Mytilus edulis: one gene and its partner. The protein of the gene in region 1 interacts with the protein of each later gene in a biochemical or structural test. Links are inferred from orthologs where the notes say so. Each region holds a gene or a part of one and is shown on either strand. Other genes may lie near its edges. The genes, in order: next to BRCA1 gene 1 protein-like and microtubule-associated protein 1 light chain 3 gamma-like.

What was found.
Region 2: the proteins of next to BRCA1 gene 1 protein-like (region 1) and microtubule-associated protein 1 light chain 3 gamma-like form a complex in vitro, tested with the Homo sapiens proteins (2 studies listed by IntAct). The link is inferred for Mytilus edulis from reciprocal best matches to the Homo sapiens genes NBR1 and MAP1LC3C.

What each region holds. Positions count from the first base shown.
Region 1 is NC_092357.1:35,895,884-35,909,107, reverse strand, and holds the start of next to BRCA1 gene 1 protein-like, read left to right. Parts: upstream 1-7,458; 5' UTR 7,459-7,730; coding exon 7,731-7,844; intron 7,845-10,239; coding exon 10,240-10,302; intron 10,303-12,570; coding exon 12,571-12,612; intron 12,613-13,224. UniProt on the Homo sapiens protein: Ubiquitin-binding autophagy adapter that participates in different processes including host defense or intracellular homeostasis.
Region 2 is NC_092346.1:23,184,375-23,197,719, reverse strand, and holds the start of microtubule-associated protein 1 light chain 3 gamma-like, read left to right. Parts: upstream 1-6,283; 5' UTR 6,284-6,411; coding exon 6,412-6,475; intron 6,476-6,511; exon of another isoform or gene 6,512-6,526; coding exon of another isoform or gene 6,527-6,554; intron 6,555-13,345.

The DNA of each region.
Region 1 (13,224 bases):
GCATTATTGAGAAAAATCCTGTTTGACTTATATAAATACTTTCAAAATGAGAGTTTAAATTATTGCAATTACAACGTTAACCCGCCCGCATTTTTGCAATAATAAAAACATCACAATAATTTCTGAATTTACAGTACCACTAGACATCTCTATTTTTATACGACCGCAAAAATTGAAAATTTTTCAGTCGTATATTGGTATCACGTTGGCGTCGTTGTCTGCATCGTCATCCGAATACTTTTAGTTTTCTCACTCTAACTTTAGAGTAAAAGTGAATAGAAATCTATGAAATTTTAACACAAGGTTTATGACCACAAAAGGAAGGTTGGGATTGGTTTTGGGAGTTATGGTCCCAACATTTTAGGAATTAGGGGCCAAAAAGGGCCCAAATAAGCATTATTCTTGGTTTTCGCACAATAACTTTAGTATAAGTAAATAGAAATCTATGAAATTTAAACACAAGGTTTATGACCATAAAAGGAAGGTTGGGATTGATTTTGGTAGTTTTGGTTCTTTGTTTGATTTCATCAAAAATTGAATAATTGGGGTTCTTTGATATGCCGAATCTAACTGTGTATGTAGATTCTTAATTTTTGGTCCCGTTTTCAAATTGGTCTACATAAAGGTCCAAAGGGTCCAAAATTAAATTCTTGGGCTTCTTTGATATGCTGAATCTAAACATGTACTTAGATTTTTGATTATGGGCCCAGTTTTCAAGTTGGTCCAAATCAGGATCCAAAATTATTATATTAAGTATTGTGCAATAGCAAGAAATTTTCAATTGCCCAGTATTCAGCAATAGCAAGAAATCTTCAATTGCCCAGTATTCAGCAATAGCAAGAAATCTTCAATTGCACAGTATTGTGCAATGGCAAGTATTTTCAATAATTGCACAGTATTGCGAAATAGCAAAAAATATCTAATTGCACAATATTGTGCAATAGCAAGAAATTTCCAATTGGAGTTATCTTTCTTTGTCCAGAATAGTAGTTGAATCAACTTAAATCATTGTTTTATACAATATACAATGTATATTCATTTTTACTACCAACTGATAAATTAAAACAATCTTCACCATTCAGTGATAACAAGCACTTTTTTTACATTTTAATATTATGATGTATTTAAATGAGTAGTTATTGCTAGGGGCCATTAGAAATTTGAACAGATCAATTTTGGAATAAGGGAAAGGGGGATGTGAAAAACAAATTGGGGGAGGGGGTCAATTTTTCTCATTTCAGATTTCATAAATAAAAAGAAAATTTCTTCAAATTTTTTGAGAGGATTAATATTCAACAGCATAGTGAATTGCTCAAAGGCAAAACAAAAATTTTAAGTTCATTAGACCACATTCATTCTGTGTCAGAAACCTATGCTGTGTCAACTATTTATTATATTGATGTCAATATACAAACTACAACTATAGAAAAAAATTAAGATAATACTACTGCATGGATGTCAACATACAGTCTCAGACAATAGACAAGTGTCTTTCAAGATCTGTCCACACAAGCAGGGCATTAAAAAAGATAAAAAAACCTACCAGATATTTTTACTCCTGTTTTTATTAATCTCATTAGAATGTTAAAAAAGACAATCAACTGAAGCCAATTAAGGTAGGCATAAGAAATGATTGGTGAATGAAGATCAATAAAATAGATGATCTTGTACTTTTGATATATATGTAACAAAGAGGCTGCTGGCTTCCTTGTTACAGGGTCATTATTTTTTTATGTAAAATCATTAGAAAAACGTTGAGGTCAGCTAGAGATGCTGAAGACGTAAACTTAGCTCTGGCACTGAACTAATACCAAACTCACAGCAAGATTTTCTAATTTAATTCCAAACCAAAATCACATACAATGGTAAATGTTTCTATATTATGACTCCTACTGTAATAATACAATTCTATTGATGTTACTATCCTACTCTCTTCTTACTTATTGAATTAACAACATATATACTATTTTATCATGACAAGTTTTGAGTAAACGAATTCACTCTAATTAGTACAAATTCATAATTACAATTATGTCAACTAATAATACTGATGCTGATGAGAATGTCCAATTAATTACATAACATGTAATTAACTCAACTTGAACTTGTCACGTGATGATTTCTCTAAATTTATGACACCACAAATAATTAGAACTAGTCCAAATCTATACAAAATACTGAAGGTCAAAATAACTCAAAATGCCTCTATGACATATAGATTAAACTATAAACTAACTGTACATTATTTGAAGTTTGGATAGTTGTCCAAAAAATGCAACATTCTAACTAGAATAAATTAAACATGTATTTAAGAAAATGTTACTATTGCCTTTATTTAAGATGATAACATGAAGAAGAAGAAAACAAAAGAAAGAAGAGTTAACTAAAGTTTAAAAAGAGAAAGAGCTGTGAATACGATATACAGACCTGTAATATTTGTGGCTGTTCTTTATAGAGTATATTTTTGGGACAGTTGTTGTCCATAGTTTGATGTGTTTGAGCTTTTTATTTTGCCATTTAATGTGAGGAATCCTGTTTTTGAATTTTCCTTGGAATTAAGTAGTGTTGTTATACTTTTTCATACAGCAACATAAACAATAGAACTTGAAGACACATTAGGGACAATGCCAAAATACTGCAGGATATCAATGCAGTATTTGAGTCTCATCATAGTATAAACTACATGTAGGACACTGATGTGCATCCCAAAAAATACCTGAAACAATTTTGAAATCAAGAAAAATATAATTAAATTATAATTGGCAATATATGTGTATTAGGCCAATAAGGAAGATTTCAAGAGACGACCTAAGTCCAGCATCAACATAAATACTTTGAAGGGGAAAGAAATAAAGAAAACTACTAAGTAAATTGAATTTGACCAGGCACGTTAATTTCCTTACCCTTTACATATATGTATTACCTGTTTGTATCATAGAAAAGAATGCAGATACATGTAAAATATACATTTTCATGAATTATAAATGTTGTTGTAGTCGTCCTTCATGTAAAAAAATCAATGGGTTAGAAATCTGGTAACCAGGGGCGGATCTAGCCATTTAAAACAGGGGGTTGGGGTTCCCAACCTAGAGTAAAGGGGGGGGGGGGTTCCAACTATATGCTTCCATTCAAATCCATTGGTCATCCAAAAAAAGGGGGGTCCAACCCCCTCCCCCTCACCCCCTGGATCCGCCACTGGGTAACCATCAAGTTTCTGTCCCTTACACTTGAAAAACTGCTGGCCCAATGTCCAAACCTGACATTTACATCAATCTAACTTTTTGTGTGTTTTAGATTTGTTAAGCATGTTCTGTTGGTATAAATATAACTTATTTCTTATGAAGCACAAAATTAATCTTGAAATTTTATTGGTTATAACACCCCATAATAAAACAAAGTCCCCCAAATTTAAAATGTATATTTGAAAAAAGTTGTAAATTAAAAATCCCCCCTCCCCATAAATTAAAAAAACAACATCCAATTGAAATTTATCTAAATTATTTTTTTCATAATCCCCCCCCCCTTTTCACCACTCAAAAAATATATTCCTGAAATACCAGGATTTTTTTTTTTATTCATGATATGATGCAATAACCTTGAAATCTGATTGCTTTGGTTGGGTATAGGGGGGTATTTTAAATTTATAAAGATTTTTATCAATTTTTGAATTTGACCTTAAATAGACGTTGTGACCCTAACGACCTTTTATACACGTTGTATGTTTTCATTATGTGTGATCAAATGTCCATTTATGGTAATCACGATCCAATTTAACAGTTATTGATTTATCACGACCCTAAAATCCTGATGACTGACAGACGGACAGACGGGCCAAACGCATGACACCCCTGCTTCTCTGTAGCATGATGTATATATATTTGCTAGAGCCTGAGAATATAGATGTGAATTTCAGAAGGATATCTATTGAGCTATAATTATTTCCCATTAAACTTGAAAAATATATCAAGTTTTCTGTTTCCTGTGAAACTTTGTAATTCTAACTTACATGTCTATAATTATATTCACGGAAAAGATCATACATTGTATACATAGTTATGATGTTCCTGTCTACACGGTATTCCAGGATTTTATTTGTTTTACTTTGGAAAACAATCGTTTATTTTTCTTTTATCTGTTTGACAAAAATCATCCTGTTATATATGAGGCCGTGTTTACGGGATTTACAGAATAGAGAATAAAGAGCAAAATATATAAAGAAAATAGAATAATGGGGGGTGGGGGAGGGTGTGTGTGATAAAATATAAAGAAAATAGAATAATGGGGGGTGGGGGAGGGGGTGTGTGATAAAATATAAGGAAAATAGAATAATGGGGGGTGGGGGAGGGGGTGTGTGATAAAATATAAAGAAAATAGAATAATGGGGGGTGGGGGAGGGTGTGTGTGATAAAATATAAAGAAAATAGAATAATGGGGGGTGGGGGGAGGTGTGTGTGATAAAATATAAAGAAAATAGAATAATGGGGGTGGGGGAGGGGGTGTGTGATAAAATATAAAGAAAATAGAATAATGGGGGGAGGGGAGGGTGTGTGTGATAAAATATAAAGAAAATAGAATAATGGGGGGTGGGGGAGGGTGTGTGTGATAAAATATAAAGAAAATAGAATAATGGGGGGTGGGGGAGGGTGTGTGTGATAAAATATAAAGAAAATAGAATAATGGGGGGGGGGGGTGGGGGAGGGGGGGTGTGATAAAATATAAAAAAAATAGAATAATGGGGGGTGGGGGAGGGTGTGTGTGATAAAATATAAAGAAAATAGAATAATGGGGGGTGGGGGAGGGTGTGTGTGATAAAGTATAAAGAATAACAGCATAAATTAAAAAATTTAACAGTTTACGGTAACTTATATACTGGTTACAGGAAAAAATACAATGTCCAGAATACAGGTATCAAGTAATTACATAAAGCCAATTGATTTTTAAAAAGTTGAAGAATAACGAGCAATTTTTCTTTTAGATAGCAAATTAAGGACACCCCCCCCCCCCCCCCCCCCCCCCTCAAATCCATGTCTTATGTTTTCAGTTTTGTTAAAGTTTTGTAGCAAATCGTTATGGCTTTCAGCTTTTGTTATCATTATCTTGAATGACTGCAATCCCTAAAGTCTTTGATTTAACGTCTTACTGACGTGTGCTTGGTGTGGAATCAGCAGATACAAATTTTAAGTCGTTGGTTTTTCATAGGCAAGCCGTCATGATTGCATACATCCATTGACCAACCATTTATCTTTTGTGAATAGTTGTCTCATAGGCAATCCTACCACATCGTCTTATTTTTTATATGAATCAAACCTATGAATTCCCATACTCACACGATCTGTATGTTGAATATGTGTATGGTATATTTTTACTCTTAATACGACGCCCTCTACATCTCAACAGTTCATGGCAATCCTGTTTCTATTCGACTGCGTTTTGATAAGCAACTGGGTATTTCTGAATTATAAATCGAAACATATGTAACACAGATATAAAACATGAAACGCAATGAAACTTTTATAAATAACATTTGAAGTCACATTAACCGTTGGCCAAGACCACACATATATACTAATATAACCAGCTGAATGACTCCTCCGGGTGCGGGAGTTTCTCGATCGCTGCATCGAAGACCCAGTGGTGGCCTTCGGCTGTTGTCTGCTCTATGGTCGGTTTTGTTGTCTCTTGGACACATTCCCCGTTTCCATTCTAAATTTTTAATAAAACAAGAATAATAATAATATCTTTATTCGGGAAACAAACAAAAACAAATTTTGGTCATGGCAAATACATAGTAAAAACAAACATAATGAAAACAGTAGGTATATATTTATTGCAAATCTAATTGTATAAATCTCTCTTAACGACTCTGATATCAACTAGCTGCAGCTGTATATGGCAAAATTTTGGGTCTTCAAATACTTTTCCACTTAGAACTTTTTGGCATTTCTTTTTTATTTATTCAAGCGATACTTAGGAGTCTTTTGAAGACAAAACGCGATTTTGCGTACACAATTGTAATCCTGCAGCATCTATCATGAGTTCATTCAGGCTTGTCAGTCTATAGGAATAGAGTCATAATTGATTGATAGAGTCGTCTGTTGGTAGTAATTCCGCTGTTCAAAAGTTCAAATAATAGATTGAGAGAAAACAAATCAAAGTTACAAACTGAAACCGAGGGAAACACGTCAACTATATATATATAAGAGGAAAGCAACGAAACAACAAAAAACAAACGACAATGCAAAATACATAGAAACGAACTATTAGATGACAATAACTGCCGTATTCCTGATTTGTTCTGGACATTTTAAGAAAACATGGTGGGTTGAACCTGGTTTTGTGGTTAACCAAACCTCGCGCTATATGGCAATGTTGAATATATACTGGTAAAATGACAACTTTACATGACAGGAATACAGTACGAAATACAAGAACACTCAGGACAGAGAAATACTAACCTTTAACCTTTATCATGAGACACCTCAGTGTAGTGGCTGTTCGTGTGTTATAGGAGATACAAGGTCTCAGCTTTGAAATTTAAAGATGGTATATATATATACGCTTTTAGCTAGTGATTCAGTTTCTTTTCCTAGAAATTCCATTGCAATAAGATTTATTCGTTATTTATAGTGTTTACTTAAACAGCAATTAGCATTTACCATGTTTACCAAAAACAATGAAGACCAATGGGCACCTATTAAATTTATTACTTTGCCATGTTTGCATTAGGCATGTTAGAGGAACATGAGAACTCCTGATAAATCGCCGAATTATATTATGTACTACTAGATTATATATGGAAATTTTAAAATAGACACAGTTTTTAAGGTTTTAAATATAATCATAATAATCTCTAGCTATTGTCAAATGACAAATATAGAAGACGGCAACACGGATCGACCCCCTTAACACGAACCTTGACAAAAAAAAAAACAATTACCAAAAAAACACAATTTGGTTTTCCGGATGGGTATATAGAAAACTTCCTTCTCTACATACATGACATAATATTAGATATATATATTAAACAAGTCAAAGAAATTAAGATATAACAAAGATTACAGCTATATATATATAACGTTATACAGATAACTCAGTGCATTTATTATAAAAATAAGAAGATGTGGTATGATTTGGGGGAAAAAAGTTTGTTTCTAGTTTTTGGAGAAAAAAATAATTTGTTTTTGGTTCTGAGAAAAAATATTGTTTGTTTCAGCCCCGTGATATAAAAGGGGGCCACAATGACGTACAATAGTAAAACAATAGAAAACTGTTCAATCATCTATAAATCAGATTTCTAGAATAATCGAAATGAGAATTTGGGACGGCAAGTATGTTGTCACGTCTAAATTCGTCATGTTTCAAAACAGACGTGTCATTAGCGATCAATGTTTACGTCACTCAGATAATTTCTAAAAATAGAAAATATAATATTAATGCGCTAGTATCTAATCCGTCGCATTAAAAATATTAGCTTTGCTTAAATAATGCTGCAGACAAAATCTACATATAATAAAATTTTGTACGAAATTTAGAATAACACATGCATATTTGTTTTAATTTTACGTGATTTTTATGGAAAATCGTCAACATATTGCACTATTTGTTCCTGTACATTCAGATTTGTGTTTAGATGGTAATGCGTCATATTTGTCAACAAGAAAGGAAGATGAAAGTATAATATTGTGAATTTCTCGAATACACATTAATTGGGAACATCGACACTTAGCCACATGGTAGAAATGGATGAACTTATTGCAATAAATGTGCGATACGAAGGGGACAACGAAGCCTCACAAATATTTCAACTAAATCCAAAGACACAATGGCGAGATCTGGAAGCCATGGTAAAGTCAGAAATCTTATGTCATATGACCTTTTTATGAAAGTCGTCAAACATAACTCTTATTTAACACGATTTGCATCATTAATAACGTTGTATTCAAATAAATACACTATTTAGATGAAATCTGAATTACTGTACTTAAAAACGAAAGCTGAATTTGAAATTATCATATATTTGCTCAATCAGCTGATCAACAATGACAACATCATGAACATGTCATGATCAAGATGCAGATTCAAGGCAAAGGGAATTTTATGTATGCCTGTTAATATTAAGTTGTTTTCTGTATGTCAATCACCTTGGCATGTCTGTAGGTAATTCCAGGGATGATTCCAGGTGTTTTCAAATGGGTCCCTTGAACATCAAATTGGGAACTTTTATTCTAATTGGGATTTTTTTAAGCATAAAATCTAAGACGAAATAACATTATTTTCCTGTAAAAACGGAACATGTATATTATTAAGTTCAACCTGTACACTGATGTTCATGTAAGTTGTAACATTTTGAGTAATTCCGGATGGGCAACAGTACTGTTATTACATGAATATCATTGAACATGATGCGCCAGTCTATCATCTTAGCTATAGTTACCTAGGCCTATTACAAAAACATATATTTCAGCTTACATAAACCACTGAAAAAAGCAGTTACAAAAGTTCATATATATAATTGATAATATATTTAAAGCATTGAACCAGTGTTCTTTAAAATTATTTGAATCATCTTCAAAACTTGTGAAATAGTTCCATAATGATGACATCGTATGATATGAATGGTCTATCATCAACATTATCTTCAAAAAACGCTCAAACTTTTGTCAATTACCAGGCTTCTCACAAAAGAAATCAAAGTTACTCAATTTTATTATGGCACAATATATACACAAGACAAACAGATATATTTCACAGCACAGGACAAACACTCGACTATACCACTGACAGTCACATATAACATGTAAAGTTAATGTTAAAGAGCAAATATAGCGTCTAGCCATTAGAAATGATAAATATATTCATCCAAACAGCTCGAATAAACACATGAGCTAGCCGCCAAGCCAACGGCCGCCAAAAAATAAACAAACAACTGTGTTGAACAAAGAATTAAGCAGATTAATTTTAACTATCATATAAACAATACACAATTTAAGCTTGTTAATCTAGCATGCAAGAAATAATTTCAATGAAAAATTTCAAATGTACCGCGAATCCTGAAACAAAGAAATATATAAGAGCGTCCTGTATCCAGGTAACAAATTGACCAATCAAAATAAGGAATACTCGGAACAATTTCTTCCGAGTAAATATAAACAGTGATTCACGTGGTAATTATCCATTTTTATAAAATCAAAAATTACACTTTTGAGGAAATAATTTCTTTTACAAAACAAATTTTCATCATATTATATAACCGGCTCTGCTGGGCGATCTGCTTTTACAAGTTCGGCGCCCATTTAACTTTATCCATCAATGTTATATCAAAATTTTTTTTTTTTTCTGACGAGGTCTGCTTTGACACCCATTTTTATCAACCTGCTGGGCGATCTGCTTTTACAAGATCGAATACTCCTCATGCACTGCTCCTATAACATATTAATCAATTGAATTCGGATGATAAATTTTTTTGCCACATTTTGACATAATTAAATCATTGTTAATAAAATGCGACCGTAAACAGCATCTTTATCCGGATTTTAAAATGTTTTGACAACAAACTCTGAAAAATTATAGTTGCCTTAATTGGTGACAGAAACTTTTCCGAAAATATTGATTTTTATTTTATTTTCCTGAATTGGGAATTCATTTTCATGTACATTTTTTGGGGGCCGCTGGCTGATTTAAGGGCCGCTAAGTGGCCCTAAACTATATAGTGGAATCATCCCTGAATTCATTTCATCTCTCATAGAGTCCTCCAATTTATCTAAACATGCTAAAGAACTATATATATATACATTCATTTGACATTGTAGTACTGGACTACTGCACACAGTAATTTCATAATATTTTGGATAAAGCTTCAACTTAATACTTAATTTATTTGTTGCTCAACTTCTTCTTTATTCTGTCAAACCAATTTAATATTTCCTTCTAAAATAGTAAAACTTTTGTGTTTAAAATTTATCAAATAAATAAAATCATGAAAATTCAATTTAAAATTTTTCAATGTCAATGAAATGTTTATTATGTTCAAATTTCGAAAGTTTTCAGATGAAAAATGTAGATACATTGTATTTTGTGAAACCAAGTATAATACAGACATTTTCAAAAGGTCATCATGGTCATAGATATCAGGAATTAAATAGAAGATAAAACAAGACTCAGGCTTAAATTTAATCTAAAACACTTACATAATATGATAGCATTTTTGTACATGTATGTAAATTGTATGTTGTCTTTCAGTTGAAGGTCCAGTATGACTGTGAAAATGTGGAGGTATTCTATGTGGATACAGATGGTGACTATGTAAGTTTGATAACATATGCCTAAGTTATTTTTTCCTGTTACAAAAATGTATACATAGTATAATATTATATAAGTCTTACAATACATTAACTAATCAATCTCAATTAATTCAATAATTGTTTAGGCCAAAAAAAATATATGTCTGTTTACGGTTACCTGACCAACCCTATTTTGAGCGCTGACCCTAAGCCATTTTATTTCCGTCGTAAAGTGAATAATAAACTGAACTTGAGTTAAAAGTGAAGATAGTGTTGCCTGATACATCCCAATGTTCATAATCATGAATATGATAGCTGTTTTAAGGAAATTCGCAACTCCTGTGATGAAAAAAACATTTTGCCGCCATTTTTTTCCAATCAATAACAAAGGGAAATAATCCAATCATTAAAAAAAGGGGTAAACTCGGCCGATGGACAACTCAGACCACGGCAAGACGGACTGCACAACTCAAAATCATGGCACAAAAATAAAATGGAAAAAAATAATAAAATGGAAATACCGACCTACCTACCCTATTTATTTTGATGATGTAACCTTAAACAGGCATATATTTTGTTTGGCCTTACCATAAAAGCCAGTATAGATTGCTGAAATAACATTCCATTTATGATTTATATGTACATTTTGTACTTCTTTCTTTCTAAATTTTTTCTTTGAAAACTAGCGTAAAGATTACAATGAATGAACCTACAACATGTACAATGGATAAGGTTTATATTTCAAAAGTTGTGTGTACATGTACAAATGTAGTAGTAAACTGTGAGACAAACCTTGTTTTATGATCGTTTTAAGACTAGCAATAAGAACTCAACCCAAAATATTTAGGTTCTTATTTGTGGGTATTATCAGACTGGAAGGCACAATAATGTAAGAATTGCTTCAAGCAGAATAACAACATCAACTTGCTGTCTTGCTGTGTATTGTAGACAAAAGAATATCTAATTACAGATACATAATCTGGTTTATAAATACATCCAGATAATTAGCCATGTGTCAGTTATTATAAAATATAGACTCAAATTTGAATGAAAAAAACAAAACACAATATATCAAAGGGCGATATTTTTTTGCGCCAAAAAGTAACTCATTTGCGCCACAACATAATTGCGCCAATACTTCTTTTGCGTCACCTGATTTTCAAAACTGTAGGTATCATTTGCGCCAATAAAATAATCATCTAATTGCGCCAATTCTATTTATTTTTATTTATATAACAACTAAGTGATTGACTTTCTTGATCGTTACACAATACAAAGTCATCATCTGTGTTTGTAACAACACCGATATCATTCTGTGAAATTCTGCTTGATTTTTCACTTGAGCAGGATGCAGTTTTCTTTTCTCTCTATTTATATACATTGACTGACGCACATAATTTAAATCTTTCTTTTCTAAATTTTCTTCTTCAATTTTGAAGAGCTCTGAATTTGTTATTTTTGAAGGTCGCTCTGACATAATATCGGTTACTTTTCTTTTGCATGCAGTTCTCAAAATTTGACGTTCTAATTTCTGGACATTTAAGTTTCATGAATATGATCTAATTCTCCATTCAAAATAATTGTACACGATTCATAGATCTGTGAATAACCTCGCACAACACGACTTAACTGTACATCTCCACCTTATTTCTCCAGTTTCCTTTACAAATGCCTGATGGAATTTGTGTTCTTCAACAATGACGACCGGTTTTCCTCTATCAGACTCTATTTTCTTGAATAGTTTATCAGACATCTTGACTCGTGAACAAACATTCTATTACTAAACAATTTATTTTTTGGTGAGTTTTCTTAAATTTGATGAAGTGTTCAGTTAAATCTTAAGTGGAAAGGTTAATTTTAGTACATGTATGATAGAGGTAAAACATGTACAGGTATGATATAGGTAAACAATATTTACAGGTAAATGTGGCGCACTTTCATTTCATTTATTGGCGCAATTAATACCATCAAAATAAAAGAGAGTGGCGCAATTAATATCTTTTCAAAACTGCAATTGGCGCAAATTGATTCTGCCCATATCAACATAGGTCTAAGGTATGTCTAATGTCACTGAATTGTAAGCAGATCCTGCTCCACCAGTGGCACCCATCATAAAAATTTCTAGCTAGGTAGACTTACTTTCAGCAGACACCTGTTACGTGTGTAATGAGTCAAAATGATGACAAAGTACATTTTTTTAATTGTAATTTAATCAATTACATTGAAAGTAATCAGACCCATCTCTGGTAATGACTTCTTGCCCACAATCTGTTTTGCTTTTCTTATTTAGATTATTTTAAGCAGTCAAGAGGAGTTAGTAGAAGCTTTCAAAGTAAGTACATTGATGAAAGATTTTCTGTAGAGATTCAGTTTTGTTAGCAGCTGAGCTTTTATGAAATGTTAAGCATGTAACAATGTTAAATAGAAGTCAGATCAGCATGATCAGTGTGTCGTTCCCTTTTATTATATAGTTAAAAATGAAAGATCAGACATGAAGACAGGTAAAGTTGTATTTACCTTAGCTTTAACATTTTTAAGTTTAATAAAGTTCAAGTTGCATATTAATTTATTAAAACTATGCAGTAAATGTGCAATGTTGGGTAATTGTCCCCAGTGAAAACACATTGAAATAGGAGGGGGTTAATCTGTCCTTGCTTGTTATTGCTATCAGTTGTACAATTCTTGTCAGACTTTTATGACACTTAGATCATATTTCAGCAATGTCTTAGATGAGTTCGAAAATCAGGACTGATTAGATATTTGTAAATACATGAAATAGTTATGCCCTTTGGAATAATGAATTATACAGGAAATTGCATTGTATGCTCTGAAGCCTTCATTTCTATAAGATATTTATATAAATTGTTTTAAGGAACAAAAAAATGTTTTATTTAGTTAGTAACCTTAAGCTTGTACTTGGCAGTAATTTGCAATTGAATAGAAT
Region 2 (13,345 bases), on another chromosome or scaffold:
TAAGAGTATCAAATAATTTACATGACAAATTAGTGGGAACAAAATTAAAATTTGACATATATTTTCTCAATAAAAATAAAACTTTAATGCCTTTTTTAGACAGCTCTTCAGTAGTTTTTGTAAAATTTCCCCTATAGTTAATAATATTCCCTAGAAATTTGAAGTCCTTAACTTCAGTCAAAAATTTATTATTAAACAAGAGGGGTGGGGATTGTTTATAAATATTCTGAAAAACTAGAATTTTAGTCTTGTTTGTATTAACACTCAATTGCCATTTAGTGCAATATTTATTTAGTTTATCTAATGCGTTTTGAAGCCCCTGGTGTGTCTCGGACAGTAACACTAAATCATCTGCATAGCTGAGAGTTTGGATACTTGAAGTATCAAGAACTGGAGGGTTACAATTTACATCAAAAATTGAATGTAAATCATTTATATAACAATTAAACAAAGTAGGACTTAAACTGTCCCCTTGTCTTACACCTCTAATTATTGGAAAAAACAAAGAGTGTTCATTGCCAATCTTCAGTGCAGACTGGGATAAACTATACATGTTTTTCAAAGTAGTATAAAATTTCACACCAACACCATCATTTATCAATTTATACAACAGGCCATTATGCCAAACAGAGTCAAAAGCACCACGCAAATCTACAAAACAAGCAAACAGCTTTTTCTTATTTTTTTTCAAATATTTAGTGACAAGAGTTTTTAAAATAAATATGCTATCAGATGTTCTGTGATTTGAACGAAATCCAAATTGATGACTGGAGAACTTATTTTCGTAATGCTTTACTAGTCTTTTATTCAAAATAGAGCTATATAATTTTGCTAGACAGTTTAAAATAGAAATGCCTCTATAGTTACATATGTCTTCTTTATCTCCAGACTTATGGATTAAAACAATAAATGCTTTTCTCCAGCTGGTGGGGTAAATACCAGATGATAAAATAAGATTAAAAAGTTTAACTATGGCTGTAACTGTAACAATGCTACTATATTTTATAATTTCATTAGATATTAAGTCAGGTCCAGAGCTTTTCCCTGATTTTAATTCTTTTATACAGTTCTTTACTTCTGATATTGAAAATGGACCATCAGTATAAATATTATGTTCTAAAGTACTCTCAAGCATATTTAAATCTTTTTTAACTTTTTCTTTAAAAGAGTTATCATATTTTTCAGCCTTACCAAGATTTTGAAAATGTTCTTCATAGTTATTTAATTTAATATTTGAACAATCATCCTGTTTAGTGTCTTCAGATTGTACAAGGTTCCAAGTTCAAAGTTGTTGACAAAAATTTATATGACGTCAGAGACCTTCTGACGTAAGGCGGAGGGATATAGACGGATAGCCTTGACTTACACAAGTTACTTACCAGCACACTTAATTAGAATAATAGAAATTGATTACAAAACAACCTGTTTTGTTTATACTTGGTATTGGTAATTATTAAAAAGTCAAAGAAAAAAGGACTATTTATCTGCGGAGTCACGCACTCCATCTAGACGACGTCATTTATAAATGTAAACAATTTGAATGATCAATGAAGGAGTTCCCCTCACGGAGAAGAAAATGGACAAAAATACGCCCTATTACCTTGATTTGAATAAACCAGAAGCAAAACAGAATGTCGGATATATTTATGGTAAGTAAACCTAGCTGTTTTTGTACATTTTTCACGACTTCATTTAACACCCTCTTTTTTAGAGGTCGACTTGAACATGTACACATGTAGCAAGAGGTAGAATCTATATAAGGGGGTGCTATGCCAGTGCTTTGTGGGAAAACTTTAGTTGATTTATTGAGGGAAACAGTACTGAAGCGTCCATCTCTAAAGAAGTCATGCAGTGCCCTCCCTATCTCATCCCCCTTATGAAACTTCTGGATATTCATGTCTTATTCTTACAACTTTTAGGGAAACAACTTTCCCAGGTAAAAAAAAGGGGAAGCTGAGCGCTCACATGTTAAAATTGGCAAATTTGGTTGATTATATAGGAATTACTGAACCTTGGCTGGAACCCCCTCCCCCTTTATGAAAATATCTTAATCCGCCACTAGACTGTTTAAATAAATACTGTAACAGGGTAATTTATGAAGATCTTTTTTTAAGATACTTCAGATACTTTTATTTCACTAATACATAGGCGTAGCAGGCCCATAAATAATGGTACGTTTTTTGGCAAATTAGACATATGGGACACGGAAGTGTTCCGCCAGCGTCTTACTGCAGAGGGTATGGGAGCCGCTCAAGGCCCCCAGAAGCTCTGGGGTTCATAGCGTTAAAATCCTGCATTCTAGTCGTTTCCTGCCACTAAAAATCGTTTCTGAAAAGCAGCATTTTTTACTCGACAATTTGAAAAAAATCAAGTATATTAATGTCTGTGTCTTGCAGGTTTTGTAGTTTGTTTCCATTTTTGTGTCATTTACAAAGCATGCAATTATTGCGCAAAATTCATTATAAAAAAAAATAAAAGGCCAGAGGTTCCTTGCTACAAGTTAGGACAGGCGCAAAATTGCTGTAATGTAAACTTTTAAGATAACCACTTCGTCAGTAGGGGGTCGTCTTGGCCTTGTAAGTTATTTTTTTTTGAAAATCATGCAGCGACTGTCAAGATGAAGTACTTAAATAAATCACTATGTTCTTGCAATAATTTGCATCTTGTCTATTTGTCAAGAGTGTTCAAATTGGAAAAATGAATGTTACTAGTACTAAGGAAATGACATATTTCATTGATCTTCAATCAATCACATGCATGGCGACAATTTGTTTTTCAAGGGAACGAGTTCAATTCAACCACTATAAAGAACCCTTAGTTCATATAAACTTTAAAATCAGTAATTGTGATATAAATGTAACGCTAAACGGGTCTTTGTTCTGTGTATTTTGGACAGTCATTATTTTGGATATATGTATCTGGGATCTAATCCTTCTTGCCCGTTTACATAAGGAAATAGCTATTAAATATTTCACCATATATATATAGACTCACTACCGTCTATATACTAGTAACGAAGTCTGTTTAATGTTCACATGTTTAATCATATAAAAGTACATGTATATATATGATATATTTAAAAGGTTCACAGCCCAGGTTCACAGTTATAAATTCCAATACAAAACGTTACTTAGTTCCAACTCTATAAAACAACATGTTACTTCATTATAATCTATATCGCAACTTAATTGTTACTTCAAGCTACTACACCAATATAAGTGATCAATGCAAAGTTTCTTACAAAATCGTGCTATGAACCGCTGTCCTTAAATTACATTAAACCTTGCTTTGATAAACGTCCAAATGTTATTACAATTCTACTATGCAACTAATGTACCGTACATGCAAACTGTCACATTTAATATTAATCAAGATGAAAGATCATTCAACAAATTAAGTATAATTGACCATCAAATCTTTGATGTAGTTGACCACGCCACATCAATGTTAAATTTGTGAAGTGTAAAATATTTACTCGCCTATGTATATGTATATAATATGTAGTTTCCATTTCTCGTTTCAGCATTTTATTTTTCAAACATTGGCTATACCTTTCATGTAACTATTTATGTGTTGCTTATGAATTTAATTGTAACACTTCTTAGTGACTGGTTAGGTTAAACCAATGCCTTCCTAGAAAACTATGACACCAATGAACAACACCAGTCTTTTTGCTGTTCCTGCTAATAATGTATGCATGGCTTCACTAGAAAAGGCATCAATTCTTTGGCTTTCCTGGTTGAAGGATTTGTTTTTACAACTCCAGTGTATACACAATTGTTACCATAGTATATAGTTGGTTGACCGTTATGGAATAACCGTTTCATAGATGATATGGGATATGTTTCTCACGTCATAACTACAATCCTCTTCCCTTTTCATGAATTTGACTTACTGTATAAAGCTAGTTAAATCGGGTTTGTAAAAACATGAGCAACCCGACGGTGCCACTGTTGGACATTTGGAGCAGTATCTGCTTACCCTTCTGGAGCACCTGAGATCATCCCCAGTTTTTGGTTAGGGTTCGTGTTAATTGCTCAGACTGTGTTTGTTTTCTATGCTGTTTCTTGTGTACTTTAATTTGTATATTTCATGTCGTGGTGTTATCAGTTTATTTTCGATTTATGAGTTTGCCTGTTCCTCTGGTATCTTTCGCCCCTCTTGAAGTCTATAACTTAGAGAATGATGAAAAATGATAGTTTTGCAATTCAAAATATGAATACAATATAAGGCTGGTTAGAATGCAAACCAATCAGCTTGCTTAATATCTAATAAGTGCCACCAAATATGCAGACATTTAAGACTGGGGCAAACCATACACAATAACACAAGCTTACTAAAAAACAGCTTGGTTTCACAATACTAGAATGTATGTAAAACTGCAATTCAATAAAACATAGATTGGTATACAAGCAATTAAAGCTTGTATGTATCCATGCAAGAAAAATAAGCTTTCACCGTACACCAGTGTTGCATGCAAGAATACCGTGAACTGAAAATGTCAAACAAATATGCAAACTTTTATGTTCCAAAGGGTATAGGATTATACGTTGGTATACCGACAATCAAACCCATGAATTCCATTGTTTTACAAGGGTTTATTGAAAAGCGGGTTAGTATACGGGAATTAACCCCTGAGTGTTGCAGTTAAGAATTAAGAGCTTTCTTTCAAATTCAAATGAAGTTGAAGGCTATACATAAGTAATTCAACCTTTTCATTTCACAATCATACACATCTCCTTATTTTCTAAGGGAGGTATGCAAACATAATTAAATAAGAAATGTTACTACTCAGTAAATACTTAGCATTCAGGCATACAGACTTGCCAATACAAACATGAATCCAGAATAAAATTTTAGAATCCATGAAGGCATACAAGTACCTAGCAGAAAAAAAGCCAAAATAAATTAAAAAAAAAATCGGTTTACATATCCCAGGTTCGTATACAGGCATACAGACCTTAACTATGCCAAAATAAATATATTAAAGGTTCTAAATACACCAGATTTGTATGCAGGAATACAGACCTGACAAATACTTATATACGCAGAAAGTGAGAGTTTAACATACACCAGGTCGGTATGCTAGCATACAGACCTGACAAATACTTGTATGTACATAGAGTGAGTTTTTAACATACACCAGGTCAGTATGCTAGCAAACAGACCTGACAAATACTAGTATATATGCATAGAGTGAGAGTTTTGCATTAACCAGGTCGGTATGCTAGCATACAGACCTGAAAAATGCTAGTATATGCATAGAGTGAAAGTTTAGCATTAACCATGTCGGTATGCTAGCATACAGACCTGAAAAATACTAGTATATGCATAGAGTGAGAGTTTAACATACACCAGGTCGGTATGCTAGCATACAGACCTGACAAATACTAGGATGTGCATAGAGTGAGAGTTAAGAATTAACAGGTCGGTATGCTAGCATACAGACATGAAAAATGCTAGTATATATGCATAGAGTGAGAGTTTAGCATTTACCAGGTCGGTATGCTAGCATACAGACCTGAAAAATACTTGAATATGCATAGAGTGAGAGTTTAGCATTAACCAGGTCGGTATGCTGGCATACAGACCTGACAAATTCTAGTATACACATACAGTGAGGTTTTAGCATACACCAGGGTGGTATGCAGGCATACAGACCTGACAAATACAAGTAAGAGAAAAAAGACTTAATTTAGCATTCTTTTCATTGAAACATCTGAAATAAAGATGGGTAAATGCTATGTTATGTATATATTTCAAAAATGACATAAAAGTATAACAAAAATGCAGAATGAGTATCTTTTTAAGGTTTATTTACTTGAACTATTTCCTTGGTGTTAAAATAGTTCATTCTAGCATCCTATGAAAAAGGTTTATGATAAAATGATGAAATTTTGGTTCGCATTTACAAAGAAAGATCACAAATCTTGCCAAAAGATGACAAACAAATATTGTTAATGCTATACAGTGAGTTTTTAACGCGAAATATATCAATAATCCCAAATGTTGTAGCCTTTTCACACAAAAATAAGTTAAGTGGCATATGAGAATTTCTAATTTTAGATGAGAACGTGTTCAAATGATGAATACTTTTAGCTAAAGATGAATATTGGATGGGGGTTCTGTGTATTTACATTATTTGTACAACTCTCCTTACTGATGCCATATTTTGGAATTTCCGTGACCTAAATGGTTCGCGAAAATTAATATTTTTTATATATAGTATAGTAATAGTGGTGGGCCGAGTTTGTTATAGTCCGAGTTAGCTTTAGGCCGAGTTATTCAGCGGCGTATCCTAATACCAAATAACGACTATGATTTTCTCTGAACCTTGGGTTTTACGTCATAACCAGCTGATGACAGATTGAAAAGTGTTCGCAGTTAGATACACACAATATTAGTGGTAACATGCCTGAAAGGCAGTATAATACGGCCGAGGGGGCTAAAACATTCAAACAGAGAAAGAGTTTTTGTAAGTACACGATACAGCAAAATATAAAAATGCCAATACAGTAATCGAGTAATGACAAAGTTTTCCCAAGTTATGACAGGTACATTACAGTTCATCATAACAAACGGACAAATATGGCTGTATTTACATGTCAAAAACCTGGGTACAGACTTACCTGTGAAGTTGGAAATGTTTTCATGCATGGCATCCACTAGATATATTAAATTTAAATGCATAATTTTTGTGTTTCAGAAAGATCTCTTTTGGATTTTGATGGGCATTTTTTTCCCTTCATGCATGAGGTGTGAAAATTAACTATTAAAGTTGTGGTACAAGTTTGAGTAGCTGTGCCGCAAATAGTCAAAAAATAACATAAGGACCTAAGAGCTACGGTTCCGCAGCTAAAGTTTGAGATGAGCCCTTCAGGTAAAAACCGGTTTGTATTGTTTTGATTGTCCTCAATTGACATGGACAAGAGGTATCTTCACACAACTACAGGTGAATTATTCAGTTAAAGAGTTTATCTGAGTCAGTGAGTGGACAGTATCAAAGCTGAGACTACTATAACACATAGTAGTCTCAGATCAAAGTTAATAAATTCAGGTGTTTGTTTATTTTTACACCTTCTGCAGAAAAAAAAACCCCATCAAAAACCAATGCATTTAACTTTTATATATTTAGTGGATGCTAGGCCTTAAAACTTTCCAAACAGCACAGGTAAGTCTGTACACGGAGAAGTTTTTGAGGTGAAAATTCTGCCATATTTGTCCATTTGTTATGATGAACCTTAAAGAGTAGGGGAAAAACTAAGAGAAGACATGGTTATCGATTATTTGGCCATTTTCAAATATATAAATCTTGAGTTTCATTTCAAGGAATGTTAACACCATCAAGACAGTGTCTATTCAGAGACATGTATTTATGTCTCTGGTCTATTCTATTCTTTCCATTGCCAATATTTTATTAGTATTGACAGAAATCAAGTGCCTGTGCTGTGACCTAATACATGCCTAATGTAAAAATAGGATAGGTATTAAGGACCCAAATAGGACCTACATGTACTGAAAAATAAATGAAAATGTGCAAAAAAGTTATATATAAATACATGTGTGATACATGTCATTAAGAATGTAAACTCAATGTCATATGACTATCCCAAATTCTACCAATCATGCCAATAAAAATCATAGGAGGTCAGTAAAATGAAAGTCAAATATCAGCATCTTAAACGAAGTTGGAATGAATTTTACAAGTTTCTTTAAACTTTGAGTACATATTGTATCTCAAAAAGTCAGCAGTTTAATATATGTTTTTGAATTAACAGTTTTAAAAAGTTTGTTTAAGCAAAACTAATGTTAAAGCATTTGCTCAGACTTATTTATTTGATAGACAAATTCAACACTATTATGCCATTGTGACGGGCTTTGCCAAAGATTTTGTTGAATTTATGATAATGGTCTCACAAAATATTAGTACATTGTAATTTGTACTAAAAAAAATACTAAAGCATAAAGACATCATTACCTCAAAATGGACTGGTGAGGGTCTGGATGGTATGCAGAATAGAGAATAATGTGCAGAACTTAATTATTGGAATTCAGCTGCATATACATTTTCTCCAGACAAATGCTCTAGAATGGGATAAACTGAAAAAAGATACACGTCAACCACAAATCCTGATCATGTTCACATATTCTGAATAGAAACAGCTACAAAACATTTATGGGTATCCCGGTAAACATACGATCAGACCTCAAATAGAATACCGGTAACAATGAAGATAATATCAGATTGAATGAAAGATGACAGCTGAATATTCTAAAGCAATGTTTCCTATCCATGATTCCTGGTAAGGTTTGTTCATAGAAAAGGATGGATTTATGGCCTCCCATAGAATAATATTTGAAGGTTCAATAACTTTCTTATCATATTGATCATTACATAATAAAGTGGAGGGAGTGAACCTAGTTCCAAGAAAGATACAAGCTTGTCGTTGCTCTAAAGCTCACAAACCAAAAACACTGTAATTTTGTTCATTAGTCATGTTAATCAGTACAGTGTATGTGTTTTCATAACTTTAGTTTAAGTGAATAGAAATCTATGAAATTTAGACACAAGGTTTATGACCACAAAAGGAAGGTTGGGATTGATTTTGGGAGTTTTAGTTCAAACAGTTTAGGAATTAGGGGCCAAAAAAAGGCCAAAATAAGCATTATTCTTGGTTTTCGCACAATAACTTTAGTATAAATAAATAGAAATCAATGAAATTTAAACACAAGGTTTATGACCATATAAGGAAGGTTGGGATTGATTTTGAGAGTTGAGGTCTGAACAGTTTAGGAATTAGGGGCCAAAAAGGGGCCCAAGTAAGCATTATTCTTGGTTTTCGCACCATAACTTTAGTACATGTATAAGTAAATAGAAATCTTTGAAATTTAAACACAAGGTTTTTGATCATAAAAGGAAGGTTGGGTTTGATTTTGGTAGTTTTGGTCCCAACTGGTTTTTAGGGATAAGGGGTGCAAAGGGTCCAAAATTGAACTTTGTTTGATTTCATCAAAAATTGAATAATTGGGGTTCTTTGATATGCCGGATCTAACTGTGTATGTAGATTCTTAATTTTTGGTTCTGTTTTCCAATTGGTCTACATTAAGGTCCAAAGGGTTCAAAATTAAACTTAGTTTGATTTTAACAAAAATTGAATCCTTGGGGTTCTTTGATATGCTGAATCTAAAAATGTACTTAGATTTTTGATTATTGGCCCAGTTTTCAAGTTGGTCCAAATCGGGGTCCAAAATTAAACTTTAGTATAAGTAAATAGAAATCTTTGAAATTTAAACACAAGGTTTATGACCATAAAAGGAAGGTTGGGTTTGATTTTGGTAGTTTTGGTCCCAACAGGTTTTTAGGAATAAGGGGCGCAAAGGGTCCAAATTGAACTTTGTTTGATTTCATCAAAAATTGAATAATTGGGGTTCTTTGATATGCCAAATCTAACTGTGTATGTAGATTCTTAATTTTTAGTCCCGTTTTCAAATTGGTCTACATTAAATACCAAAGGGTCCAAAATTAAACTAAGTTTGATTTTAATAAAAATTGAATTCTTTGGCTTTTTTGATATGCTGAATTTAATCATGTACTTAGATTTTTGATGATGGGCCCAGTTTTCAAGTTGGTTCAAATCAGGATCCAAAATTATTATGTTAAGTATTGTGCAATAGCAAGAAATTTTCAATTGCACAGTATTCAGCAATAGCAAGAAATCTTCAATTGCACAGTATTGTGCAATAGTAAGAAATTTTCAATTGCACAGTATTGTGCAATAGCAAGAAATCTTCAATTGCACAGTATTGTGCAATAGCAAATATTTTCAATTGCACAGTATTGCGCAATAGCAAGAAATATCTAATTGCACAATATTGTGCAATAGCAAGAAATTTTCAATTGATTGGAGTTATCTGTCTTTGTCCAGAATAGTAGTTGAATCAACTTAAATCATTGTTTTATTTAGCTTCTAAAGGCAAATAGATTTGTTAGATCTTTGACCACATTTATTTTGTGACAGAAACATATTATGTCAAAAAATATGATCACAATCCAAATTCAGACAGTATCAAGCTTGAAGATTGTTACCAAATTTGACCCGACTGTTCAGTGTTTGACCACTGCGGTCATATAAAGCTGCGCCCTGCGGAGCACCTGGTTTTATACTGTCATGCATTTTTGTCTATAATCAGACAAATCTGATGTACAGTGGTTGTCTTCTGTTTATGTATAATTCATACGTGTTTCTTGTTTTTCATATTTATTTAGATTAAACTGTTGATTTTCCCATTTGAATGGTTTTACACTAGAAGTTATTTTGGGGCCCTTTATAGCTTGCTGTTCAGTGTGAGCCAAAACTCCGTGTTGAAGGCCGTTCCTTGACCTATAATGGTTTACTTTTATAAATTGTTACTTGGATGGAGAGTTGTCTCATTGGCACTCATACCACATCTAAATTCTTCCTATATCTATAAAGCATTGTCATTCAATGTTGCCATAATTTCATGTAGATGCATGATATTTTATAAATATGCATGGGTCTTGTAGATGACCAATTTTAGTAACTTTAACATTGACTTGTAGGAGTCAATTCTTGCTCAACATTAATTGACTTGTTAAAGTAGAATGAAATTCAAAACAGTGTGGCTGTGGCCATTGATTGACACATTAAATTCATCCATTGACTGGGACAATTTACGTGAACGTTTGTCTGTAACGACCACTATTCACGATGTACCTACGATAGACATTTAAACTGTGGGGTCACCAAAGGTTTCTTAACGCCTTTAATTATAAAATAATTCCAAAAATTAATCAGGAATAACCTTTATGTTTTGATTTATATAATTGATATAAATCAAAACATCGTGTTATTTCTGATTAATTTTTCGAATTACTTTATTAAGGTGTTGAGAACCTTTGGTGACCTCATAGTTTAAGTGTCTTTAAAAAGTACATAGTGAGCAGTGGTCGTTACATACAAACGTTCACCTAAATTGTCCCAGTCAATGGATGAATTTAATGTGTCAATCAATGGCCACAGCCACACTGTTTTGAATTTCATTCTAATAATTTGTCTTAAATTAAAGGGAGACAAATCTTTTAAGTCTACAAATTTAGACCTCTATGAGCCAAAAGCAGATTCAGATCTATATATATTTTCAAAAAACATCATTTAAACGATGAGAAATAAGATGGTTAGTTTTAACAGATTATGTAAGCATTGTTTATGTTTCCTTACAACAATGTTTTTATAACCGTCGCTCACGCATCACTGGTTCTATTATTGGCAACTCGATATACATCAGTTTTGTCGGACGAACAGGTAATTCCTGTCAAACTAGATAAATCATGTGCATTAATTTAACTGAAACATTTCAATACTATAGTTAACGTTTCTTAATACACACGTTATCATTCACGCGAATTATTAAAGAGACATCGTTATCTGAGAGTATGAGAGTGATAACAGTAAACATCTAAAACGCCGGACGAAAGTCTAGAAATAAAGAAGAACGGTTAAAAATAAAGAAGACATCTAACTTCTTGTCTTACATCCAATTTTCTGTCAAACATCTATAGTTAAAGATTACTGGTTATCTTTTAACCACAGTCCATTTTTCTAGATGTTTTATGGGCTTCTAGATAATAAGCAGGCTCTTTAACCAAATGGCTTTCCCAGTGAGACTTATTTATGACATTTATGTCTGAGCTCTGACTGGTGAGGTGAGAGATTCTTTTGTCATTTTTCTTTTACTCCATGTAGAAGGCCTTACTTTGACTTTGAGATGAAGAACAGCAATACATCCTTTGCACTGTTCATTTAATGATGTTGTGCCATATTCTTTGTTTTTCTACTATCATGATTATACAGAAAGTTGTACAAATTGTTTTTGGTCAGAAGACACATTGTGAGGTGTGAATGTTCTGGGATTATTGACTGACTATAAATTGTATCAGGTTGATCAGATATACAGATTGTTATTATTGCAGTGCAGATACTGTCTCCTACAGTCCATGTACTGATAGTTTAATAAACAAACTTTATATTTGACAATGACCTTATATCTTTTGAACTAGTGATTGTGGGTGATTCACTCTGACAGATATATATATCTTTATACTGCAACTGTGTATTTGCACAGTCAAAATGCATTGACATACACATTTTGTCTTTCACTGATGGGATAAAGTCAAATAAAAGACTATGAAAAAATTGATCAGTGACTAACAGGCTATTATTTGAACTTAAAATTATTTTTAATTATAGAATTTGCTTGATATCTTGTTATTGAAATTTTTAATAAATTCCATGTTTTTTCTGTACTGAAATGTTCTGTGCTGCGCACAACCTTTCTATTACAAAGAAAATAGTATATTTTAAATAGAATGTACTGTGCCGCGCACAAAAATATCTAACCAAAATACATTGTAAAGAAAGTGTTATTAACCGCTCAAATGATTATGATACCAAATAAATATGGAATTTATTAAAAATTTTAAACACAAGAAATTATGCAAATTCCATAATTGAAAATAATTCCAGGTTCAAATAATAGCCTGTTCAGACTGTAAAAAGGCCTTGTTTTGGATGTTGATAATACATATATATATATAGTTCAAATCGTGAAGGACTGTAGGTTTGACCTCATAGATCTGCTTAAAGTTCTTAGTTGTTGATACCCAAAATACATGTATTTGGTGAAGTTATGGTTGATACCGAAAATACATGTATTTTTTTATAAGTTACAGGTGCTACCGAAAATACATATATTTGGTGAAGTTACCGGTACTTGTGTTGCAGTATAAGCAAAACAACCAAACATTGTCTCAAAACATTGTAGTCTGCCTCACATTCAACCTGTGCGGACTAAGCAGATAAAAATTACTAGGCTTCTGACAAATGAAATCAAAAGTTCCTCAATATATAGTAATCTATATATTTCACAGAACAAAATTGGTTGTAAGAAAATAAGGAACAATTATTATTAAGCCATTACAAGTAGATAAATATAATAAGAAAAACAGATCAAATACACATTTGATGTAGCCACACTTAGATAAGCAAAACTTTATTAATAAATACATGAAACAAAAATTAACTAAAACAGATGTATTAAAGTGGCAGTTGGGTGGCCGGGTAAATAATTTTTCAACAATAAATTCAACTTTGCTGTGAATCTTGAATCATTATATATTTCAACTGCTTATTCTAAGTTCTATATACATAAAGTGATAATACACCTTTTCAAGCAAGAGCTAGTGGAACAAGATATACTGTGAGCTATTACTCACTCAATATAATCCCTCTCAAGTAGTCTGACACCAAACAGAAAGAGGAACATT